Linked DNA regions of Nothobranchius furzeri. The protein of the gene in region 2 interacts with the protein of the main gene of each other region in a pairwise test. Links are inferred from orthologs where the notes say so. Each region holds a gene or a part of one and is shown on either strand. Other genes may lie near its edges.

What was found.
Region 1: the proteins of drg1 (region 2) and rwdd1 interact in binary tests that used the Homo sapiens proteins (3 or more experiments, as listed by UniProt). The two-hybrid records come from large-scale screens. The link is inferred for Nothobranchius furzeri from reciprocal best matches to the Homo sapiens genes DRG1 and RWDD1.
Region 3: the proteins of drg1 (region 2) and zc3h15 interact in binary tests that used the Homo sapiens proteins (3 or more experiments, as listed by UniProt). The two-hybrid records come from large-scale screens. The link is inferred for Nothobranchius furzeri from reciprocal best matches to the Homo sapiens genes DRG1 and ZC3H15.

Annotation. Positions count from the first base shown.
Region 1 is NC_091745.1:58,580,644-58,585,064, reverse strand, and holds the start of rwdd1 (RWD domain-containing protein 1), read right to left. Parts: upstream 2,887-4,421; 5' UTR 2,767-2,886; coding exon 2,694-2,766; intron 2,323-2,693; coding exon 2,257-2,322; intron 1,931-2,256; coding exon 1,800-1,930; intron 1,618-1,799; coding exon 1,474-1,617; intron 1,328-1,473; coding exon 1,195-1,327; intron 1-1,194. UniProt on the Homo sapiens protein: Protects DRG2 from proteolytic degradation.
Region 2 is NC_091746.1:51,122,801-51,126,946, reverse strand, and holds the start of drg1 (developmentally-regulated GTP-binding protein 1), read right to left. Parts: upstream 2,896-4,146; 5' UTR 2,745-2,895; coding exon 2,706-2,744; intron 1,004-2,705; coding exon 880-1,003; intron 734-879; coding exon 558-733; intron 482-557; coding exon 412-481; intron 65-411; coding exon 1-64. UniProt on the Homo sapiens protein: Catalyzes the conversion of GTP to GDP through hydrolysis of the gamma-phosphate bond in GTP. Appears to have an intrinsic GTPase activity that is stimulated by ZC3H15/DFRP1 binding likely by increasing the affinity for the potassium ions.
Region 3 is NC_091752.1:40,303,275-40,307,606, reverse strand, and holds the start of zc3h15 (zinc finger CCCH domain-containing protein 15), read left to right. Parts: upstream 1-1,451; 5' UTR 1,452-1,583; coding exon 1,584-1,658; intron 1,659-4,332. UniProt on the Homo sapiens protein: Protects DRG1 from proteolytic degradation. Stimulates DRG1 GTPase activity likely by increasing the affinity for the potassium ions.

The DNA.
Region 1 (4,421 bases), on a different chromosome or scaffold from region 2:
CATGGAGGTAAATTTAAATTGACTAAATGCTGCAAGTGTGGAAACACCATTGTGCTACAATCAATTTCAGTTACAGTTTCAAGCACTCTACATGTGTTACCTTTTTAAATGGAGAACTCACTACAGCCGTGAAACTGCTCACATGTCAGGTCTGAAGTGAGAAAACTTCTCTGAGGAGCAGGGGTCTCATTTATCAAGCTTGCTTACGCACAAAACGGGGTCGGAAAACTGCGTAAGCAACTTTCCACGCAAACTAGGATTTATAAAAGAAAACTTAGCGGAAAAATGTGCGCAACTTTAAGTTGACTAAGGACCTGGCTTACGCACATTTTGGACATGGAGAGCACCTGCAGTGCTGCTGCTGAGAAGGATACAATTATGAAATCCTGCAGCATTATCACTTGTACTGCTTCGTTTTCACACAGAACAAGACCCCCCCCCCCCCCCCGCACACACACACAGCTTGAAGCGCAGAATACGGAATGCTGAATATCAGCAGGGGGACAGATTGAGACAGAATGTCATGCGTCTGTGACGGTGTGAGTGTCTTGTCACTGTGACCTGATTGATCATGCGCCCTGGCTACTTGGACAAGGGGATGTCCCTTTGGCTAACTGGTTAGCGCGTGACTTTCACGCAGGAGTCTGGGGATCGAGTCCCAATCGGACCACTTTTTTTTAATCTCCACCACAGATCTCTCTGAAAAATTCACAACATTGACGGCTTCAGCAACGCTGTGCCACTCCGTGGATTTTCTCTTATTTGTTTTGCAAAAGCACTTCCTTTCATTTCTCCACCTCACCTACAAGTACCTCAATTTCTGCTTCTGTGAAATAGCGCTTCCTTGATCTACGGTCGCCATCGTCATTGGCGGAGCGCTGCAACAGCCGGCTTATGTATATGCATGAGATCCACAAGGCACTTTGCATTGACCATTTAAGGCAGTAAGTGGGTGTGTTGAGGGCGGGATGTGACTCAGAAACAGCTGAGAACCTTTCTCGTTAGTCTCTGATTTATTAAGCGGAGATTGCGTGCAGCTGTGTGTACTCCAAGTTTGATAGATCACAAACCTACTTGGCATAAATACATTTTTTTGCTGAGCTTAAGTACGGTTTTAGTAAGTATTCTACACAATGTTTGATCAATGAGACTCCTGATCAGCCCCATCCTGGGAATCTGGACCAACAGGCTTACCAGTCAGTTTGGGTTTTCCAGCCTGCTCCTCCTCTTTCTGTCTTTTTCTTCTAAGTTCCGTCATCTCCAGCTCAAACTTGGCTTTCCATGCCAGGAAGTTTTCAATGGTCACCACTGTGCCCTGGAACGCCACCTACCAAACAGGGAGAAACCATTAACAGAAAATCAAAGCAGCACTGAGCCCAGGGAGATGGATGAAAAATCTGGTCATGCCTTAAGTCGAACAGGAAAATCCTCAGTGCCTGTTGCTTAATCTAAAATAAGACTAATCACCATTACCTTCTCTGCTTCCTCTGCTTCCTTCTCTTTCTGACGTCGTTCCTCTTCTTGCCTGTTTTTCATTGCATCCACTATTTCATTTAGTTTTTCCTGGACAGCTGTCACCAGGGTAAAAATCATCACCATCCCCAAGTTCTCCTCAGCCTGAAGAGTGACACGAATCACATGAAATCAGACCAACAACCGGATGTTAAAACACCTAAAAATGACCTGAAACAGTTTGAGCCTTTCATATGCAGAGTTACCATTCACCCCAAGACAGTCTGAGCTCATTCCTGAAGACACCCAACGTTTACAGAGAGTGAAGGCGACATGTACTGACAGACCTGCTGCTGCAGTAAGGTGAGGATGTCCTCCGCATCCTGGTCCTCCAGGTTCTCCTGGGAGTAGATCTCCCACAACGGAGGCTCATCAGGGTATTTGGCTACATATGTAAACCTTAGCGTTGCTTCCACCGCTGTAACAAACAGAAAGCTGTTTGTTATGACACCTTACACAGAAACTCAATGACTGGCGTTTGAAACAAAACCTCCCAATCACACGTGATGAATGACCTGCACTTGTACAGTGCCAGTCTGAGCCAGATGAGTCCAAAGTGCTTTACACTACAGTTATTCATCCATTCACTCTGGTGGTGATGAGCTGCATCGTAGCCACAGCACACTGGCAGAGGTGATCCAAAAGCTGAGTTTTGATGTGATGGTGAAAAGTGTGCTAGATGTAAAAGGTGTTGGAGGTATAGAAGGCTAGGGGGCGTGGGAGGAGAGTATGAGGTGTACTCACTCTCGCCGTGTTCCCCAGCATCTGACGTCACATTGATGGTGAAACTGGTGGGGTCTTCAGACAGCACTGAGAGCACATCAGAGGAAATAATCTCTATGAACTCATACCAACAGGTTCAGATAAACACTAAAGTTTGAAATTCACTCCACAATTAAACGTTCCAACATTGCAGCTACATAGATGCTTTAACTCTGTGTTCCACCATGGAACTTCCAGATGTTCTTTAGCTACTAGCATGTTCAAACACACTCCAGAAGTAAAAACGGAATCGGTCTTGGGTTCAGTAGGTTAAACCCGACTGTAGTCCCAGGAACTGGACAACCCCTATGTCAGCCTAGCCTTCATATCTGGGAACACACCGGGAAAATGCTGTTCTAATCGGTTAGCTGACGCCTGCTAGCTGGAAGCTAGAAATTAAAACGTGACGAAGATCGAACCTGTAAACGAGTCAGGATAGATGGATTCTATAGCTTCAAGTTCATTTCTTTGCTCTTCAAGGTAGTCCGTCATTTTTGAGTATCTGAAGGTTATCTGGTCTTCAATAGAACCATGACAGGCACAAAAACGCTACCGCGAGGGACCCACTCACTATCAATCGATGATATCAAGGATCGAACATTTGGTCTGACAAACTGTGGCCTACGTAAGGCGCGTTACTGCCACCTGCTGGACAAGAGTGGAACCAGATTGTTCTCTCTGAGCTTAAAACAGAATCAACGGTATCATTTCTATTTAGCATCTAACAATGAAGCACTGCAGTGTGATTGTATTATAAATAAAGTAGTATATTGTAGTAATAATAAAGAATAGAAAGCAGAAAATGATAAAACAAGATAGCTTATTCAAAAACCAATTAAAAAAGGAATGAGTGAACAAAAGAAAAATCAGTAATTATTGTGACCACTTTCTTCTACCTACACGTGCACACCGTTGTCGCAGGAACTGGGCTTGTAGGTTGTTCCAAACATCTTGGAGAACTAACTACAGATCTTCTGTGGATGTAGGCTTCCTCACATCATTCTGTCTCCATGTAATGTTGAGATCAGGGCTCTGTGGGGGGCCAGACCATCCAGGACTTCTGGTTCTTCACGCTGAAGACAGTTCTTAATGACTTTGGCTGGATGTTTTGGGTCACTTACTTTTATCTTTTGTAAATTAAAAAAAAACATTTAAAAAATAATTATTTATGTTTCTGAAAAGACTATTTGTTTACAGCATTATTTTTTAAATCTGGTGCACCATTTCCTGGACCTAAAGTTGCTCACATCACAACTGAGCTTCAGAAGGCTATTGGAGAGAACGATTGTGCCTTTTGCACTTCTAATATAGAAACTGAGATACATTTATTTTTCACATGCATCTTTACCAAAATTTTCTGGGATAGTTTTCACTCGTGGTTAACGCATAATAATTTCATTATACGCTCCTTATCTTTTTCTGACATCAAGTATGGTATTAGTTTGGAGAATAAAATGCAGCAATTCACTGTCAATAATTTGATTATTTTCGCCAAATTCTTTATACACAAATGTAAATTTGGCAATATCAAACCGATCTTTATTGTTTTTATTTAAAGAACTTGCATCCTTTATGGATTCCATGTAGTTCCAAGAAAGCCATTTGGCTCTATAACAATTTGGTGAATGTTTCCTTTACTCCTAATAATGTTGTTTGATGTAATATATATATATATATGTCATGCTCAGAATTCAACTGTAAATATTGATTCTTATGTAAGCCTGTAAGCTTCATTGGTTAAATAAAACTTGTTTTAAAAAAAAGCTTCAGAAGGCAGGTTTTGGAGTCTTATTTCCTGATAATTGGACATCTCACCCTGGATTGGATAACAGCAGGGTGACTCTACCACTGACTCTGTTTGCTCTGTAAAGTTGATAATTTATCTCCACAACTTACACAAGCCTGTAGGAGCTTCTGCTGTACGGTGAAGTTGTTATGCTAACAGTTAGCTTCCACAAGCTGAGATGTTCTCTGCTGGACGCTAAACCAACAACTTCCCCGTCATGAGTCAAGGTGGGTGATTCCATGAATGTTAAGTGACAGTGTAGATCTGTCAGACTTTTTTCAAGTCCTAGCCTTTCACTGCCTATTTTCTATCAGAAGCTAATGCAGGAGATAGGTGTAGGAGACTATTTTCATGTTCAGTC
Region 2 (4,146 bases):
TTCTTATGAAGAAGAGGCTTTAACACATCCAGCACTATCAGGATTAGATTGCAGGTTCGAGCCACTGAGAATAAAACAGAAAGAGGAAAGATAACATTCTGTTTTATTAGATACAGTTGGAATGATGCAAGAGAATAAAGCTTGCCATGTCTGCACAATTGTTTGCTATTTTAGGAGCTAGATAGTTGCAGAAACCCTGCTAAGGCCTCTAAGAACATGAAACAGTTATAAATAAAACATTTACAATAAGTCATCGTGTTTTAGGTTATAAACACACAAGTTAGGTCTAGTTGACAGCAATTCATAAAAAAAACCTTTTATTCAAAGTTAATTTCTGATTTCAGTTAAATTCCAAAATTATAACATCAGTGGCTTTCTTTTTGCTTTAGCAGAAATCTAATAAAACTCTACCTGCAATGACCTGCCTGCCTCTACCCTTGCCGTCCTTGGCTCCTTCGATGATTCCTGGAAGATCCAGGAGCTATAAAGAAAAAATAAATCTCAACCCAATGAAACACCACTTTAATATCTCAGGACTGGAAGACATTTTCCTGTACCTGAATTTTGGCACCTTTATACCGAATGACCCCAGGAACTGTTGTAAGCGTTGTGAACTCGTATGCTGCAACCTCAGAGTACACACCTGCTAGGTTACTCAGCAGGGTGGACTTTCCTACTGAAGGAAAGCCAACAAAACCAACTCGAGCATCGCCGGTTTTTGCCACATCAAAACCTGTATGTGAGAGAATAAAAACCTGAATTTCTGTAATTATGGATAAAAACAGACATAAATTTAAATGCCTCATGGGAGAGAAACCTCAGAAACAATTCCTGAATTGGAGCTATTTGTGAATTAAATACACAATATAGTAAGACTACCTTCTCCAGGTCCACCACCACTCCCGCCTTTTGGTGTGATGAGCTCCCTCCTCAGCTTAGCTAGACGTGCTTTGAGCAGACCCAAGTGGTGAGCTGTGGCCTTGTTCTTCTGTGTCCTGGCCATCTACAGTAACACCAGAGTGCATGATGAAATAAGAAGTAAAACATTTAGCTGGACCGTTTTATTGCTTTCAAAGTAGAACTTTAACAGAAGCTAATTACTTGAAATGTCTAAATTTTGATTCATGGCTTGCTCAAAATTAAAAGGAAACTTTAAGAAGACTGGATGGGTGCCTAATATGAGCTCAGTATAATTATAGGAGGTCATACATATCTGTGTTCTATCTGACTTTACACACAGCATACAGATATTGCAGAAAAAATATTAGTTTTGATGGAAAGATGGATATCTATTTCATTACACCAACTTATTTAGATTATTCGAAAAAGTTTATTTAATAATACAGTAGTAGCATTGTTCAAAACATTTAAACCACGCATAACTTCTTCAGGTTTGCTTCCTAGGAAGCTGATTTTCTTGTAATAATCTTTATTTACTGATATTTGTTTTTCTATTGCCGAAATGTAGGAGACAAGTTCAGCCAATGTCCAATATGTATTGCCAATATTTATGGCCCGATTTCAAATAGCCAATATCTAGACATTTTCCACCTGATTTTCATGCTTAACTGTCACTAATAACGGTTGATGCACAAAATTTCTGAAGCAGTTTTTGATCTCTAAATTTAACGAATAATGGGCCATTCCCATCTGTACCGGGTTGGCCCGGGCCGGGTAGCCCCAGTCGGCCCCAGCCTGGCCTGGTTGATTCCACACATTCTTGTCTTAAGCCCATGTGGGCTGATTCTACCCACCAATCAGAGGCTTGCTCTAATGGAAGGTGTGAATTTGCTGTCAGCAGTGGGTGTGTTGGCCCTGGTCGGCCTGAAGCAGACCCCCTTGAGAAGAGGGCTGAGAATGAGCCTTGTTTGGCCCAGAAAAATACCAGACCACCCAGATATGTAAACAACCTACGCTACCCGGCCCGGGCCGACCCGGTACAGATGGGAATGGCCCATAACTGTTAACTTTGTGCACTGTGAGGCAACTATATAAAGTTAGAGTATTTATTATGCAGATTTTATTAGTGAATGCAAAAATACATTTAGATTAAATTCTATAACAGCACCGGGCTGCCTGAGGATGTGCCTGACTTTAAATTGGCTTTCTGAAAGACAAATAACACTGATGTATAAAAAACCGTTAATATCGGCCTATATATATTGGTCTACCCCTAATTCTAACTCTGCTTTTATATTTTGTAGCACTCTAAAGAACTGGAGACAATTTGTACTTTTATAACAGATTACCAACAAACAACCATTTATTACACGTATCTGAATTATATTTGATGCCTGTACGCTCAGAGTGGCTTAAAAACAAAAATTTGGTCCGGTGCCGTTTTCGCGTCAGTGCATTTCGATATTGTCAACTCAGCGCATCTGTCAGTTAATAACGATAATATTAAAGCAATTAACAGATTAAATTAATCAGTTATTCAAATCTAAGCTAGAACCGGTTTAGCATATGCGTTGCCAACATCTGTGAACTGACATTAATCTCTTTATTCATCTATAAGTGACAACTAAACTGAACACTGAAATACATTTTCTTTTTTTAACAGCTTAAACTGTCAGGGATGCGGGGCCAGTCAAATATAGGTTAAAATGGATCTTCTTTTATGAGATAGCGTTAGCGACTAGCAGTAGCTATGTGAACTAAACGTGACAGACTCGAAGGGTTTAAAGCGTCAACTTTCGCCTTACCTCATTTTCTATCTCTGCTATTTTGGCAAGCACACTCATGGTTACGTTGATTCTAAAGACCACTTCACCTTAACTATGTATACCGGAGAGGTTTACCGACAAATATGACAAAGTTTAGGTGGTTAGGTTTAGTTAGCGTGTACAGTAACACACACCACACAAACGCGGCTACGCCAATTCACGGAAAGTCTCGCGAGATCGAAGACCTTCCCTACGTAGCCTCGCCGTAAACGTCATTTGGAATCGTATGACGTCCCGCTTTTCTCGCCTCTGATTAGCTGGATGGGCTCTGTTGCGATTGGCTATTTAATGTAAGAGGAACCGTCTTTCCTCGCTACAGGGTTACAGCCTAGGTCTTGAGGAGTTTTAAAAAAGAAAATATGAATTTAGCGCTACAATAACCATTCTGTCCTATTTTGCAACATACCAGCTTCATTTTCTTTTATAAAATTACATAAAAAACGTCAAATGTGAGCTTATAATAAATATTGTTGTTTACAAGTTAGAACACATCTCTCATCATCTGATTAAATGTATATCGAAATTGAATTCAAAGCTGATTATGATTTAGACTTTTTTTCAGCAGTTTTCATTACTCTAGAAGAGAAACAGACCTGCAACCTGGGTGAAAAAGGGCAGTTTTATTATATTTCACACCAAGGTAAGGCATACATGTTTATCCTATTTACTCTGCTTTAATAAGATTGCATCAATGCTTGAGAGCCAAGAGATATAAAGTATGTCCAACAGTGTGATAAATAATTTCACAGTTGTGTTTCAGTTTTGTAAGTAAAAGAAACAAAAAGCACGCAGTATTTTGCAAAACAGGACAGAATGATTATGATAGCGATAAGTTCACATTTTCTTTGCAAACTCCCCAAAACAGCTGCTCTGTTGGTGGCAGGAGCAGGGCCAGATTAACACTTTGTTGTACCCTGGGCAACAATATTCAAGGGCCCCATCATCATGACCCAAGGATCACCATAATATGGTCACATACAGAATATTTTACTGTAATATGCAGTAAATATACTCAATACTTGAATGCCTGACATCATGTAACCTGCTCAGGGTAACCTTTGACCCACCTTGTGTGGACTGACCAATGAGGAGAGGGTCTTAACTTGAGGCCCTCTCTTCACTGGTCAGTCTGGCATGAGACTGACTCTCAACTGACGTTCAAAGTCATAGAGCTAGCTCTCAGTAGAGCCTCGGTCTGGCTTGGAAACTGTTCCAGGATTTTGAGTCTCTGTGTTTGTACATTCTTTTTTGGATATTTTTTGTGCAATTGTTGGACAAAAAGACTTGCTGTGGTATTAATTGCACTAATAGAGCGTCCAAGGAGTCTCCACTTCATTTTTTTCGGTAAGTAAAATTATATTTATGTATTTTAGGTCACTGCCGAGCTGAGCTTAGATTTTAACATGTAGTGATTAACCAT
Region 3 (4,332 bases), on a different chromosome or scaffold from region 2:
AGGCATTGTGAGGAGGTGTGCATGTTAATTACACCACCATGGACCAACTATCATGGGTTAGGATTTACAGACTTTACAAGACAAGATTTACAATTGCAGCCATGAGGTGGGAGGTTTAGTGTTTGGTGGCAGGAAGGTCTCATCTTAGAGGACTCCAAAGCACTTTACAATACAGTGCAGCATAGACACATTCACACAGGTGTCTTGGGGCGCACTGACAGACTGCAGCATTATCATTGCTGTCCATCCGTCCCACCACCACCAGCAGGCAAGAAGGTGACTTGTCTTGCTCTGACTGACACAAATGGAGTCTGGGTTAAAACCAGCAACCTACCAGTTACAGGGTAAACTCCTAAACCTCTGAGCCCAGTCACCCCGTGGATGATGTGGCCCTGTGTGAAGTGGAATAAGGATCAGCACCTCCAAATCCAAGACCAGAAAACTCCAGGTCAAGGGAGAAGGCCTGATTCAAGTGCAAAGTTAAAATCTGGGGTTATTGTTCATGAGGGAAGTAACGGGTGATTGAGAGGCGGATCCATCAGCATTGGATAAACATGTCTGTTGTGGTGGTAAGGGAGAAAGAAGATTGTGAAAACAAGCAGCCAAGTTTCCCCAGCCAACACACAGGTGGGCCTTATATGGAATATATGTGAGCAAGCTGTATGGGTCCCACCAGGGTTTGCCCGCAGTATCCACAGTGGCCCCACAGGGGTTTACCCACAAAGATTCGAAACCCTCTGAAAACCCATGTAGGGCCTGTTAAAATCTACGTGGGTAAAGATCTTTCTGGGCAAACCCCTGTGGGGCCACCATGGAAACCGCGGACAAACCATGGTGGGACCCATACAGCTCGCTCACATATGTCCCAAATGGGGCCCACCTATTTGTACTGGCTAGACTCAGCCTGAGGTTGTGGAGTGGGGCACCTGGGAGGGAATCCAAGTGGAACGCCTGCGTCTCTACATCAACAGGAGCCAGCTGAGATGGTTCGGGCATTTGGTCAGGCCACGGGAGAAGTATTTTGGGTGTGTCCTGCTGGCGGGAGGAGGCCCCCAGGCAGGGGTGAATTTAGGACTGAAGAAGATCCGGGACTTAACGCACGCGCGCGCGCACACACACACACGTAACACGCACTAGTCTTTTCATAAAACATTCAGGGCTTGAGCCCAAGTAGCCAGGCCAAACGCAGGTCCTGCTCCCAGGTCAACCCATAAGGGGATTCTGGATCTAGTCTGGGCCACTCTGGGGCAGCTTGTGGAAGTGGCTGAGGAGGAGAGGAGGGTCTGGGCTTCCCTGCTGCTGCCTCTGCAACCCGAGAACACACTTAGATGATTTGTAGTGTCGTTTCATATTATAAACCGTCTTTCTGAGTTTAACATACGCAAACTACATCTCCCATCCTGCTCTTCGGGTGCGCCATGACGCAACAGGACATCAACAGCTCACGTGTGGCCTAAACGGCGCCGCTGTTGCTGCCGAGTGCTAGTAACATCTGCTTCATGAGGGGCTGCTTTCACATCCAAAAGACCTATTTTCTAGTAGTTTTACCCACTTTTACTTCCCACCGCTGCTCCTGAGCCAACATGCCGCCGAAGAAACCGCCCCAGCCCGCGGGGAATAAAAAAACTCAGGAGAAGAAAAAGGAAAAGATCATTGAGGTAAAAAAATACACGAGTTAGCCTGTCGGCGTTTGGTTTCAGCTCAGCGCCAAACTGAAGCCACCAAACGCGTAAAGTCCTCCAGACCTTTGGTTATGGTTGTGTGTAAACTATGATTATGCAACTTCTAACTGTGGCGTTCTCTGCTGTTATTAGCTAAAACTTATGAAGCTGACAGATTCGTGTAGCATAGATGCTAATAGCAGGGCCTACAAGTTGTCCGGCGTAGCTTTTTATCTTTCAGTCATGTTCTAGTAATTATTTTATGACCTGAAAATCATCTTTATGCATTAAATGGCTCAGGTGGACGCTTAATGGGTCTTATCTGGTCAGGTGTTGACCAGAACAGGTAAGAATAAAGTTAGGTAGCCGTTATAACTGCTTTGTTAACGTGACCAGGCTGCTTATTTAAGTGATTTCTGAGTTCAGGCCGCAGTCAGATAAGCTGGAGAAGCTGGCTGGAGTAATGAGCACAGACAGGAGACCACGTCACTGACGTGTTGACGTTCAGATTAATAGTTGTAATGTTTCCATGTTATTCATTAAGAGACAAGTCAACACAGTCTATCCTAATTCTGATTTATTCACATGAGATAATTCAACATTTATTTTCAACAAGTTGGGAAAGATGGTCAGTTTTTCTTTAACTCATGTAAGCATCACTCCAATACGTTTGGATAAATGTAGTAGGGAAGTTTTTATATCTGACCTTGTTTCTCTGTGCTTTTAATGCTGGGAAGTGAAGTCTTTCAGTTGTCATCTTAGGAGAAAACTATTTTGCATTTGAGAAATACACTAAACTCTAGGAAAATGAGTTCAGATCACAACAAATATCTCATAAGATGTTGGTGTGACACCATGTGAACTGGTAATTGTTCCAACATGTTACTTTGTCAAAAACTATACATCCATTTTCAGCTGCTTATCTGGGGTCTGGTTGCTGGGGCAGCTAAACAGAGAGGCTCAGACTTCCTCCTCTCCAGCCACTTGGGCCAGCTCTTCCGGGGGAACCCCAAGGCCTTCCCTGGCCAGCAGGGAGACATGGTCCCTCCAGCGTGTCCTGGGTCTCTCTTTAGGTCTTCTCCCAGTAAAACCTCACCAGGGAGGCGTCTGACTAGGAGACATCCTGACCAGATGCCCAAGCCACCTCAACTGGCTCCTTTTGTTATGAAGGAGCAGTGGATCTACTCCGAGCCCCTCCCGGATTACCAAACTTCTCACCCTGTCTCTAAGGGAAAGCCCAGCCACCCTGCAGAAAACTCATTTCAGCCGCTTGCATCCATGATCATGTTCAAAGCTTGTGACCATAGGTGAGGGTTGGAACGTAGATTGACTCGGTAAATCGAGAGCTTTGCCTTCCAGCTCAGCTCTCTCTTCACCACGGCAGATCGCATCACTGCAGACGCAGCACCAATCCACCGATCAGTGTCCCGATCCATCTTTCCCTCACTCGTGAAAAAGACGCTGAGATGCTTAAACTCCTCGACTTGAGGCAGGACCTCGTTCCTGACCTGGAGAAGGCATTCTACCTTTTTCTGACTCAATCAAAAAAAAAAAAAAAATTATACAGCAACTACAACTTCTTTAAATCCAGTAACTTGCTTTAAATACAATTTGGGCAAGTGACATTTATCTTAAAACTAAAGATTACGGATGCTTTGAGGTGGATTTTAAATTTCTTTAAATTTTTTACCAAATGATTTGAACCGTTGAATTTAGAAATGGTTTTAGTTGGTTTAGTTATGTCCTGCAAACAAATGTACAGGTCCTTCTAAAAAAATTTGCATATTGTGATGAAGTTGATTGTTTTCTGTAATGGACTGATAAACATTAGACTTTCATATATATTAGATTCATTACACACAACTGAAGTAGTTCAAGCCTTTTATTAGCCACGTTTACATGCGCATATTTAATCGGATTGAATGCCCATTCAGATTGAAAATTCTGCATGTAAACATGTCAATCAGAATATTCTGATCCGATTCGGCCCGATCGGATTGAAATTTCAATCCGATTGAGAGAGGTGGTTTATTCCGTTCTTCATTCCGATTGACGTGCATGTACACAGCCATTCGGATTGTTGGGGTAAAATAATGCCCACTGCGCATGTGTGCAACAGCCAGCGGGCCTCTCCGCTGTCATTTGGACTGCCTGACTTCAAAAATGACAGCGAAATTAACGAGCGGCAGCTTTTAAATCCAACGACAAGACGTCCCGTTTCAGTAATATTTAATTCAGAACTTGCATTTTGTGGAAGTAAAATAAAAATCTGATTATTGCACAAATCATTCGACAAAGATGTTCAAATCTGTACTGGAAATACGCGGGTTTATCGTGGGGGTTGCAGCGCACGGATCCCCGTTTCTGTCAGCTTTGAACACAGCAGCTTCTGCAGCAGGTGATGGAGACACGCTTGTAAAGAACACAGGATAATCTGGGTTTTACAGACCTGATTGGAGGCTGATGTTGGGTAGAAAAACGTCCTCGGTTAAATACTCTGGACGACAGTAAAGTCCATGTTAAAAGCACGTAAACGCAGATGACCTGAGATGCGGTTCGTTAATGATGAACACAGGCTTCTAAACTTTCTGAACATCTTCTGTTATTTTGTTTGAACAGATTTTTCTCAACAGTTTCAGCTGATCGTCACATGTTATTAATAATAAGCCAC